Sus scrofa: one gene and its partners. The protein of the gene in region 1 interacts with the protein of each later gene in a biochemical or structural test. Links are inferred from orthologs where the notes say so. Each region holds a gene or a part of one and is shown in the gene's direction. Other genes may lie near its edges.

The links.
Region 2: the proteins of NOTCH1 (region 1) and NUMB form a complex in vitro, tested with the Homo sapiens proteins (2 studies listed by BioGRID). The link is inferred for Sus scrofa from reciprocal best matches to the Homo sapiens genes NOTCH1 and NUMB.
Region 3: the proteins of NOTCH1 (region 1) and MAML1 form a complex in vitro, tested with the Homo sapiens proteins (2 studies listed by BioGRID). The link is inferred for Sus scrofa from reciprocal best matches to the Homo sapiens genes NOTCH1 and MAML1.

Annotation. Positions count from the first base shown.
Region 1 is NW_018084833.1:1,208,419-1,212,161, forward strand, and holds the start of NOTCH1 (neurogenic locus notch homolog protein 1), read left to right. Parts: upstream 1-872; 5' UTR 873-1,142; coding exon 1,143-1,203; intron 1,204-2,893; coding exon 2,894-2,975; intron 2,976-3,743. UniProt on the Homo sapiens protein: Functions as a receptor for membrane-bound ligands Jagged-1 (JAG1), Jagged-2 (JAG2) and Delta-1 (DLL1) to regulate cell-fate determination.
Region 2 is NC_010449.5:96,796,554-96,800,296, reverse strand, and holds the start of NUMB (protein numb homolog), read left to right. Parts: upstream 1-1,606; 5' UTR 1,607-1,835; intron 1,836-3,743. UniProt on the Homo sapiens protein: Regulates clathrin-mediated receptor endocytosis. Plays a role in the process of neurogenesis.
Region 3 is NC_010444.4:78,873,770-78,877,512, reverse strand, and holds the start of MAML1 (mastermind-like protein 1), read left to right. Parts: upstream 1-879; 5' UTR 880-1,181; coding exon 1,182-1,496; intron 1,497-3,743. UniProt on the Homo sapiens protein: Acts as a transcriptional coactivator for NOTCH proteins. Has been shown to amplify NOTCH-induced transcription of HES1. Enhances phosphorylation and proteolytic turnover of the NOTCH intracellular domain in the nucleus through interaction with CDK8.

The DNA of each region.
Region 1 (3,743 bases):
GAAATCCGGAAGGAGCCCGTGGGAGGGGCCCAGGGCTGCAAGAGCGAGGGCAACAGGTCCGCTTGACCCGCGCGCGCGCTTTGCAGGGCACCTTGGGCTGAGAGGTAGGACAGTGACCAAGGAGTCTAGAGGCAAGTCTCTCCTGAGGGAGCTAGCCACGCATTGGCCCCAGACTTCCTTTGGGGGGCACCCAGAGCCCCCTTTTCGGAGGCCGCAGCCCCGGTGCCACCATGCCTCAGGGTCAAGTGCCCGGCCTTCAGAACAGCCCGGAGTCTGGGCTTGGTCTCTCGAAGGCTTTAAAGCTGCGACCGCGGAGCTCCTGCATTGGACGAGGGGGGCACCCACGGCTGCCGAGGGCGCTACTTCACGCAGAGCCCCCGTCCCACAAGCCCCCAGACTGGGCATCGGCCGCTCCTCTCCACCTGCCCCAGCCCAGCTCCTCGCCGGGCATGGCCTGCCCCGGGCTCCCCTTTCCCTGCTCGGCCCCCCCTTTCCCTGCTCTGCCCGCGCCTCCTCCGCTATTGAGATGCAAATCGTTGCCAATTGTCGCCGAGCGCGGCGGCACCCAGAGCCGGATCCTTCCGCGGCCTCGCACCAAACTTTTGGCCTCCGAAAACTTTCGACAGAGAAGTAGTCCCTAGGGCCGGGCGCTGACGGGGTCCCGAAGCGCCATGGCCCCCAACCGCGGAGGCCCCGGCTCGGGAAGCGCGCCCCAGCCAGAGCAGGCGCGGGGCCGGTCCAGGCGCGCGGAGGGGCGCGGCCAGCGAGGGGGCGAGGGGTGCGGAGGGATCGGAGGCATCGGCGGGGGCGGGACCCAGGGGCGGGGCCGGCGGGCCGGGGGCGGAGCGCACGGCGCCCCAGCGCCTCACTAGTGCCTTGGCCGTGGGAGGGAGCGCAGGGGCGCGGGCCTCTGGGTGCTGGGCGCGGGGCGCGGGCGGGAGCGCAGCGGAGGAGCTATCCCGGGCGCGGAGCCGGGCCGGGGAGGCCCCGAGAGCTCAGTGTCGCCCCCCTGCCAGCAAGGAGAGGGCAATAGCAGGCCGCCGCCGCCCGTGGGACGGTCCGGCGCGCGAGTGTACGCCCGAGGCCAGCCGGCCGGGCACAGGAGGCCACCACCGGGTGCAGCGGGCAGCCGGCGGGCAGGCATGCCGCCGCTCCTGGCGCCCCTGCTCTGCCTGGCGCTGCTGCCCGCGCTCGCCGCACGAGGTAGGCGCCCGCGAGCCCGCAACTTTCCGCGCCTTCGGAAACTTTTGGCGGCACCCTACGCGCGCGCCCCGGGTGGCTGGGAGCAGGCGGCCGGGGGAGGGGGGGGGCGGGCGACCCGGGGCGGAGTGGGGGCCGGAGTCGTGGACTCGGGGAGAAAGGCTGACCCTTCCTCGCGTCGCCTGCCCCATGGGGCGGAATCGCGCTGCTCGCGCCTGGAACCGAGTTTGGGGACGGGTTTAAAATCGGGTTTGAAGGCCGGCATGGGCCGTTGGGGGCCCGGGAGACCCAGCCCTGGGCTCGCCCTTCGCCAGTCGCGCGTGGGGCTCGCCGCCAGGGCGGGCGGGCGGGAGAGCTGCCTACTACTTTTCGTTTTGAATCGAGCCAGTTTTGGTTTCCTGTTGCTTTGAGGCCATTTATCTTCTTTCTTCGCCTCTTGCCCGCGGCGGGGGCGGATGTTGGGGCGCGGAGCGTGGGGTCCCGGGCGCCGCGTTCGTCGTTAGGAGCCGCACGGCCGGTGCCGGCGGCTGCGGGGCGTGGTGGGCAGAGGGGAGCGGGGCGGGCCCGGCGGGCCCGGCCTCCTTCTCGGTGGCGAGCGTTCGCTCGGGGCTGGGGCGAGGGCCACGGACCCCGGGGTCCCCGGGCTCCCGGCCGCCCCGCCCGCGGTGTCTCCTCCCCACACCGGTCCCTGCGCTCAGCCCGGCTCACGGTTATTTGGGGGGATGGGTGTGCGTGCTGAAGACTGGCTGCCTCCGGCGGGACTTTCGCTTTGTGGAGTTCAAGTTTGGAAAGCTTGCAGCGTTTGGGAGGGGGCGCTTAGTCCTCTCGGCTCACTTAGGCTCTCGGAGGAATCCGATGGGGTTTGATCTTGCTCTTCCCCTAAAAGTTGGAGGGAGAATGACTCCGGCGCTTCCAGAAAATAGGGTTCCTTGTCACCCTCGATCTACACACACCCTCCCCTCCGGGAGAGGAGCTTAATTTACCTGCCCTGGTAAGATGGAGAGGAAGGGGCTTAATTAATTGACCCCTTCCCGAGAGGGGGGTCCAATTCCTGGCAAATGGAGCATCTTCATCCCCCCTCCTGGGAGGGGTGGAGGGGGCTGCCGCTGAAGATGCCCACCCTGGGGAGCTGGAATTGGGTGTCTGCGGAGGCGGGGCCAGGTCCCTGGGGTGCAGTCCCGGTGCCCCAGGAGGCGCCCTGGCCTGACAATGGGCTGCTCTGATTCCTCTGCCGGCGCTTTGTTGGCGGGCGGGGCAGCGGGCTTTGCAGCTGTCGCATTTTCCCACGAGCGGGGGAGCTGAGTGTGGCCACCCCCCCCCTGCGCGCCGTCCCCTCGAAGAACTTGTTTGAACAGCAAGATGATCCTAGCGGTTGGCTCGGGTCCCCAGGGAGGACAGGGAGGGAGTGAGAAGTTCGGGAGAGCGGCCCGGCTCATCCCGGCTGTCTCCACTGCTGGCCTCCAGGCATTCCAGGCCACCCCGCTCCGCCTGGAGCGGGACCTGTCCACCTGCCCGCCAGCCAGCCCTCCCCCGCATTTCTGGCCCCAGGACTCTGGGCGGAATGATGAAGCCCTCCAGGGTTCAGGCCGGGCTTCCGGGGGCCCCCGCCCCCCCACAGCCCCATGTCCGGAGGTCCCTGGGGTGGGCCCTTGCTGGGGCTGGCCGGCTGACCTCTCCTCTTGCCTCTCCCCAGGCCTGCGGTGTTCCCAGCCCAGCGAGGCCTGCCTGAATGGCGGGAAGTGCGAAGGACTCCCCAACGGCACGGAGGCCTGCGTGTGAGTATTCGCACCCCTGCGGGGACCTGTTGCGTTGGGGGGGGGGGTGAGCAGAGCCCCTGCCTTCTGCAGCAAGGCCGCAGCCACCGAACACTGGCCCATTGTCTTCTGGAGATGGCCCAGAAGGCTGGGCGCGGTCACGTGCTACTTTTATTGGACAAAGTCTGGCAATTACTTAATCACCAGCAATTATGCTGCACGCGGAGCGGGTCTGGCCGCTGGAGGTTTGCGCGCTCCTCTGTGGGCCACTGCAGGCTCCCGGGGTGCCAGGTGGGGGTCCCTGGTCCCTGTTTCTTCCTCACGGTCCTGAGAAACCACAGACCTGCCGGGGAGGCTCGGGAGCCTCTGTCGAGAGGCCCAGCCTCACCACCCTGCCACCTGTGGGCCCCTCTTTTGGGCAGGTGCTGCTTCCTCTGGGCAGGTGAGGCCCAAAAGAAACGGACTGTTTCGAAGCCAAGCCCCCCCTCCTCAGCCCGCTGCCCTCCTCTCCACTCCTCTCCGGCCTCAGGTGAGGTTGGGGGCGTGAGGCTGGGACTCATCCGACTGGCGGTGCTCATTGCCATGGCGGGTGGCAGCACCTGCCAGGAGCTCGCCTTCTGTCCTGGCATCTGCAGCCCTGACCTCCTAACGGCTGGCCCTGCGCCGTCCCAGCCCTGGGTCCTCAGCTGTGACTCGAGGTCTGCCCCGGTTTTCCCCGCCTTGGCCGAGGAATCCGGTTAAAATCTGCTGCCGCCTGCCTGTGAACCTGTCAGCCGGAGGGAGGCTTTT
Region 2 (3,743 bases), on another chromosome or scaffold:
GGCTTTTGTTAAGCCTTGGACTCCATCTTATCCTGGTCAATGTGTGATCTTTCCCTCAACTGGGTGATTCAGACATCACTAAAGTTATTTTGGCTTTTCCACTTTCCTTTTACAGGCTTTTTATGAGTCATTGAATTGAAGGGGAGGTTATTTCTAAATTGGAAGGTGAAGATGAGAGAAGGGGGAGGAAAGTTCCGGAAAATAACTAGGAAAAGACATCTTATTGTTACGTAGAGTTGCTGGAGGAATAATTTCCTCTTAGTTTGGTGATGGAAGTATGTAGTTTATTTAAACGTGACTAAAAATATATGTTAGAAAATAGACAATTTTGAGGGAGATAACAAACCATGCAGTTTTAGACTTCTTATTGCTTGCTGGCAAAGGAAAGAAGGGTAAATAGAAGAAATATGGAACAAAGAGTTAGCAGGAAGAAGTAAGGAGCAAAGTCCAGATTCTTGGTTCCACAGCAAGTCCCCAACCATAAAGTGCTGTTTAAGAGGGAAGTACATCCTCAACCTGTTCCAGTCCATCCTTGAGTATGTTTCATGACCCATGGGGTTTATGTTATAGGTGGAATTGTGAGGAGGGTACATTTAAATCTGATTTAGAAACTGAAAGGGTAATTAGGTGAGCATTTTGTTATTTATGAACAGGCAGAGTGGGCAGAAATGAAAAAGAAAAGCAAAAAGCTAATGGTGGATATATTTCTAGGAGTACAAGAGTTTTTATAGCAACACCAGATTTCTCAAAAGTGCCTACTGTGATTTGTACCCAAATGAATAAAAAATGCAATCATTTATTCTTGTACATTGTGCCATGTGAGAAAAGAACTGCAATTCATTCAATGGTCTTAATTTAGACTGCTGGGAAGAGAGGTTCAGAAAAAAAGACAAGCTTTTAAAGTATCTGACACACATCTAGTAGGGCTATTTAAGAACTGCTGAGCATAGAAAGCAAGTTACGGGGAGCTGAATTCTCCTTTTCAGAGCATCACAAGGGTAAAATGTGGCCCATATAGTCCAAACTTGCTGATGGTTGCCTGGTCCCTTGCAGGAGACATCCAGCGCTGCGTCTGAAAGCTGCAGAACTCTCAACATACCACTTCAATTCATTAACGACGTTTATAACTGCAACCAAAGTGGACTAACTTCAGTGGTGGTTCTTTGCCCTTTAGCATGGAGATGAACTTTAAGGTAACTGAGCACCTTAGGACTTCAAGCGAAGAGGAGGAAATTTTCATCTACGTGCTTTTCTTTCAAGAAGCCGCTAATGAGTCTTTAAACGCCAACTCTGATGTTGCTGTTGGTAAGTACTGCCCTCTGGGTGAGCAGGCAGTGGTAAGTTTCTCCTTACAGAGAGGAAGTTGGAGAAAGGGATGTTTACAGAGTCAATTTTACAACAAAGAGTTAACCTTTCCCCTCCGACAATAAGCGCCTGCCCCTTCCTTGCTTTCTACTGCGCAACCAAACTGCCCAAGCTCGAACCAACAGTCGCCGCCACATCCCTTGCAGGTTGATTTAATAGACACTTTCTGCAGCCTATCAGGATTTCGAACTGCCCAACCGTCAACCAATTACAACTAAAGCTGGGCTTGGGACGGTCCAGGTCCGGGAGGGGGCTAATACCGGGTCCAGGAAAAGGGGCGGTAAGGAAGCTATGACGGACGGGTAAACTAAGCCAATAAGAGCAGAGAGCTGTATCACCACTATCCAATGGAGAGGTAGGAAGTGTGAAACGGGGTGGGCCTGTTGTCATGGGGGAGGTGGTGGCGCTTGGTGGCTGCCGGCGGCCGAGGTAGAGGCAGTGGCGCTGGAGTTGGTCGAGGATAGCGGCAGGTGAGTGCCTGTAACGCGGGCCTGAAGGCTGAGGGCCATCTCCGAGCGAAAACTCCAGCTCGGTCATCCGGAGGCGGAGGCCTGCGGAAGGGGGCCTGGGCTGCAGGCCGGGTCGGGCCCGGGCCGGGGCCAGGGCGGGGGCGGTGGCCGCGAGTTCGCGCTGACTGGGCTAGTGCGAGAACCGCCCGGCTCCCGGCGGCGGAGTTCGCGCTGGCAAGGTAGGCTGGGGCCGGACTCAAGCGAGTTGGGCCGGGAGCTTCCTTGGGACGCCCAGCCAGCCGCTCGGGTCTGGGGCACTGACTGGCTGCGGGTGTGTGAGGGGTAGGTCCGTAGGGAGACGGGAGCGACTGGGCTCCTAGAGAGGGGATGGCGGGTTACGACTTGGTCCGAGGGCAGGGTGACTCGGGAATACCCAGGACAGCTTCGGAGCGAGGAAAAAGTGGAAACAGGGAATCCCGGGAGCGGCCCGAGCGGAGAAAGCCGGGGAGGGGCTCGGGGGGCCGTAGACTGGGAGTGGCTTGGGTTCGAGAGAGAAGAGAGACCGAGGGAGGTCGGGGTCCAGGGTACTGGGAGCAGCCGGGGTCGGAGAAAGGGCGTCTAGGAAAGACAGGGAGGGGGCTGAGCACCCTCCTGAGAAGGGCGGCTGTCCGAGGGAGAAGCGCTCTTGGACTGTTACGGATCTTCGGAGGGTCTGACCCATGGAGATCTTGAACAAGTTAGGAACCGGAGCGCCCTGCCCCCCACCGCTGGTCTGGGATGGAAGATCCTAGATCAGACTGGGAACTCCTGGGTCTGAGGATCCACAAGAGATCAGGGGAAAAAAAATCCTCATGGGGGTAGCTTGGGTTTGACGTCAGGGTGAGGGGTCTAGCTGAGGAGTGGAAGTTCTCTCAGCTGGAGTTAAATCAAGGAAAATGATACGGGTAGGCGGGGAAAAGTAGTTTCCTTGTAGGAAGGGAGTAGAAGATAGGGCGTAGTAGGAAGGAGCCAGAAAGTTGCCCAGGAAGCGTGGTCTTGTGGAAACTGGCCAGAACCGTAGATATGAGAAATTAACATAGGGCCCTTAATAGGTTGTAAGGACCTAAGAAATAGAAGTTTCAGCTTCACAATACTAAGATGCCATCTAGGATCAGAGAAAGTGTTTTAAGAGCAAGGTTGTGACTCGCATTCCATTGCTTTAGAAATTTGTTTTAGGACGACAGCAATAATGCTAGAAAATAAGGACGTTGGCAGGATGGGAGATTTGAATGGGAAAAGGAGTAGCCGAGATAAAGGAGTAGGACTGCGGACTTGATCAGCAAGAGGAGGGGCATGAAGAGGACAGACTTACTTATGTCAATTTAAAAATAAGTTTGAATTCTAGTTCCACCACCTAGCTTCGACAACTTAACCTCTCTCTGTGCTGAAGTTTCATCTGTATAATAGAGTTCCTACTTTTAAGGGTTGTTTTCTCATGTGAGTTAATGTTTTGTGGAACTTTTAGGCTGATGACTGGCACAGAGTAAGCACTGTGTACTGGATTATCAAATGTGTAGAAGATAAAGGAAGACCTGAATTCCTTAATGCGGTTGTTCTCAAACTTTGATTTGCACCAGAATCACCTGGAGGACTTGTTAAACAGCAGTCTGCTAGCTCTACTGATTCAGTTAGGGCTGGGTTTGGGTCTGAGAATTTGCATTTATCTCAGGTGATGCTTGTATTGGTCAGGGGACCACACTTCAAGAACCTCTTGCTTTTTTGAAAAGAGTAATAATACCAACCTTAAAATACCTGTCTGCCCTGCTAGGGATGAGTAGAAGCAACTTGCAAAAGAAAAAACCCAAAAACCTAATATAAGAGAAACCCTGTCCTAAGTCTATGTTTTTCAAACTGTAGATTATGATTCATTAGTAATTTATAAAATCAATT
Region 3 (3,743 bases), on another chromosome or scaffold:
TGTTTCTAGTTAACTTGGCCCAACACCACAGACTATCTGTTTCATTGCTCCTGTTTTTTCCCTACAGTCTCCCATTCTCTTTACGTACTGGTTATAATACTAGAGTGCAGTTGTCTTTAGTCGGATTTTGTTGAGTGACTCTGTTTTACCTAACAAGCTTTAAAACTTTTTAAAATCTTTAAAATATATTTTTTAAAGAGTTTGCAGGCTAGGCTCCCTGATTGGGTGGGTGTATGTGTGTTTACTTAAGGATCATCCTTTGCAGTTCTATTCTCCCACCACCACCACCACCCCGCAAAGAAAGAGCTAGACTCCTTTCTCTCTTCATATCTACTAGGGATTTTTTTTTTAAAGTGGTAGTTGAACTTGTGAAATCTGTTAAGACATATAAAGGGAGATGATAGTCTCGATGATTCAGAATAGTGCAAGAGGAAACAAACCTTTTCAGCTCACTCGTGTACGATTCTGACCAATTGTGAGGCTGAATGTAATGAGTGAGGGAAGAAAACCAGCTGGAAAAAGCATGGCTTACTTGAGAGCTCATCAAAGCCGAATTTAAAGAGGCTGAAGGAGTGCCAGGCGGGCGTCTGGGTTTAGCCAGTTAGGCCTGCCCCTCTTTCCTCTGCGGACCCGGAAGGGCCTCTCCGCATGAGGCGGTGTTAGGGCCGGCTCCAGGCGGTCTCAGTTGGCTGGAACCCAGGCCCGAAGCCCGCCCAGCTGCTACCCTCTGCCTCTCACTAGAGAGTTCCTTTTAAACTCCGCACGGGAGCCCTAGCGCGCTTCTTGCGTGCTCGTGCCCGCCCCTCGGGCCGCCCACTCTTTCTTCTCTGATTGGCTGCAATCCCTGTTCATCAGCCGTGACGCCGGGGTAGCTTGCCGGGGCCCTGCCCTCTTCCGAGAGCCCTGAAAACAATTTTAAGATGGCGGCGGCGGCGGCGCGGAAAACAATGGGTTCGGGGCGGCGGGGACAGGCCGAGGCCTGAGGTGGGCAGCGAACGCCTGCCCCGGTTGGGCCGAGCGGGGCCGGAGCAAGACCCGCCGCCGCGCTCGAGCCCGCTGCACAGCTCTCGGGGTCATGGCGTGGCCATAAGGCGGCCGGGCCACGGGCGGGGAGCGGAGCCCACAGTGCCAGCCGGCCCCGAGAGGCCCGACTTGGGCCCGGCCCGTGCAGCCCGCGGCCCATGGTGCTGCCCACCTGCCCCATGGCGGAGTTTGCGCTGCCGCGGCACAGCGCGGTCATGGAGCGCCTCCGCCGGCGCATCGAGCTGTGTCGGCGCCACCACAGCACCTGCGAGGCCCGCTACGAGGCCGTGTCGCCCGAGCGTCTGGAGCTCGAACGCCAGCACACCTTCGCCCTACACCAGCGCTGCATCCAGGCCAAGGCCAAACGCGCCGGCAAGCACCGGCAGCCGCCTGCCCCGGCCCCGGCCCCGGCGCCTGCCCCGGCCCCCCGCCTCGACGTCACTGACGGTCCGGAGCACGGCCGCCCTGTCGCGGTGAGTAGGGCTCGGGGAGCCTCCCCTTCCTGGGAGACTCTGCCCCGACGCCTCCTGGGGCCCTTTGAGACTTCCCCAGTGCCCTTAATTCGTCGGGTCTGGCTCGGGGGAGGCTAATATGGCAGGGACTGAGCAGTTGTCATCTGCGGGAAATGGCACTGTGGCATTACTTTGGGAAAACACGACCCCAAGGACCTTACGTTAAGGCTCCGGCCGGGAAGGTTGGCGAACCATCGTTGAAAGGTTTTTCTTCCAGACTTGATTCCGAAATTATGAGTAGTTTACTTTTGGAACAGACTGGTATTAAAGTTGCCTTTGAGAGTGGCTTCATTTACTCTGTAAATGTCCATTGGGTCCTTGCTCTTTGCAGCGTCAGGGCTTAAATATGAGAATAAGACGAACTTTAGTTGACCAGATCAAACTGTTCTGAATGGAAAATCCGAGAATCTGGAAATCTTAGTGAAGGCATAGTACTGCTCATTGCGTGGCACAAAAGTATTCTTTGTTTAGGGAATTCCGAAGTTTGTGTATTTGTGATTCCAGCAATATTGTGGACAATTCCAGTTTTAATTATAAGCCTGTTTAAAATCTCTGACGGTGTTAAGTTTCGTCGGTAAATTATTGTTCCCTTTGGGTTCTCAGTAGATATTCGGGAAATTTGTTGGTTAGAAGTTTTCCTCCCTGAAATTGATAAAACAGGTTTTGTTGTTGTTGCTTTCTGGGTAATGTGGAGTTTAGAACAAATGTTACCAATTTAATTTGTAATGTGTATTTTTTAATTCATGCCTTTATTACCTTTCACCTGGCCTGTTGCAGTACTCCTCCCTAACTAGTCTTTAGGTGTTTAGTCTCTTAACCTTTAAATGATATGTCCCTCACAGGTCCTATGCGCTGGTTGAATTATTTTCCTTATTCTCTCCCACACTAGCCTGGGATGATGGATGTTTCATTGTGTATTGTTATCAAATCTAATAGAGTCAAATTTTCTCCTCCTCATTTTTCTTGTCTGTAAACTGAGGATGTGTTTGGTTTCTTATCCTCTAGGATTCTTACGATTCAAAAGAAATGAGTGTGCATATGAAAATATTTCATCAACTTGGAAAGGCTGCCTGCCACACTCTCCCCCGTCACCTTTTCAGAATTCTGCCATTCTTGAGGTCCAGCTCATCTTCTCTTTAAAGCCAGTTCTCATCCACCCTACCCCACAGCAGTTAGAATCTTGTCAAAACATTTAGGAAATGTATTGTCCGTGCTATTTATTTTAAACACCAAGTCACATACTGCTTTAGATCACGTCTTGTAAACCAGACTGTAAACCTTGGGATGCAGGGAGGAGTTGAAGGAAAGACTTGTAAGTTGTGGGTGATCATTGCAGTGTAAGTAAATAATGAAAGCTCTACAAATCTCAGTTTTACACACAAATAGCTGCTTTGAACACCCCCTAGAGAGTATATTAGTAGTGATTCTGTTTGTTTAAAGAGGGTGAGAGTTTAGATCCTCAATGGTATTTTTAGTCCTAAACTACTGGAGAGAAATTTGGCATGCTGTTTGAAGAGAAATTAATTCTCAGTGTGTTAGAACTTGAGTCTGGCCTGTCATCATTCCTTTGGGTTATCAGGTATGCCATGTTAGGTTGATGTCTTATCACATTAAACCTTGACCTATGGGTTTCATGAGTTTAAACTTTAGAATGGAAGTGCTCTTTCTTTTCCCTGCTAGGAAGAGGGACCCTTTTCACTTCAGTCTCCAAGTGATTCTAGGGGAGCTCTTTAGCCTTGGAGTGGGTTTTTAGGAAGGGAAGATCAGTGTCATTAAGAACACAGTGGCATTTTCCATTTTGGTGGCTCCTTCAGTTCAGAGGGGGAGAGAGTCCTTACCTGGGTAGGATTTTGGCTTGGAAGGAGCACAGCTTTGCCCAGAGAGATGGAGAGGAGAAATTACCTCTTAGTCATTGTTATTTTTGACAAGTCAGAATTTATATTTGATCTAATTAATAATCCTTACATAAGGAATATTATTGTTTTTTTCCAAATGTTCTTCAGTACTCTTAGGCAGCCTTTCATAGCAAAGTTATCATCAATGAACCATTTGTACAAATGAAATTTACTAATAGAGTTCACCCTCTGGTTATTTTTTCCCCTTCTTAGGCTCTTCCACCACACCAAAGGCCTGACCACTATGTACTTATTCTGTTAGAGGTGGATCAGAAACAGTGTTTCAGACTTTTTTTTCTACTCTAGTAGTTGG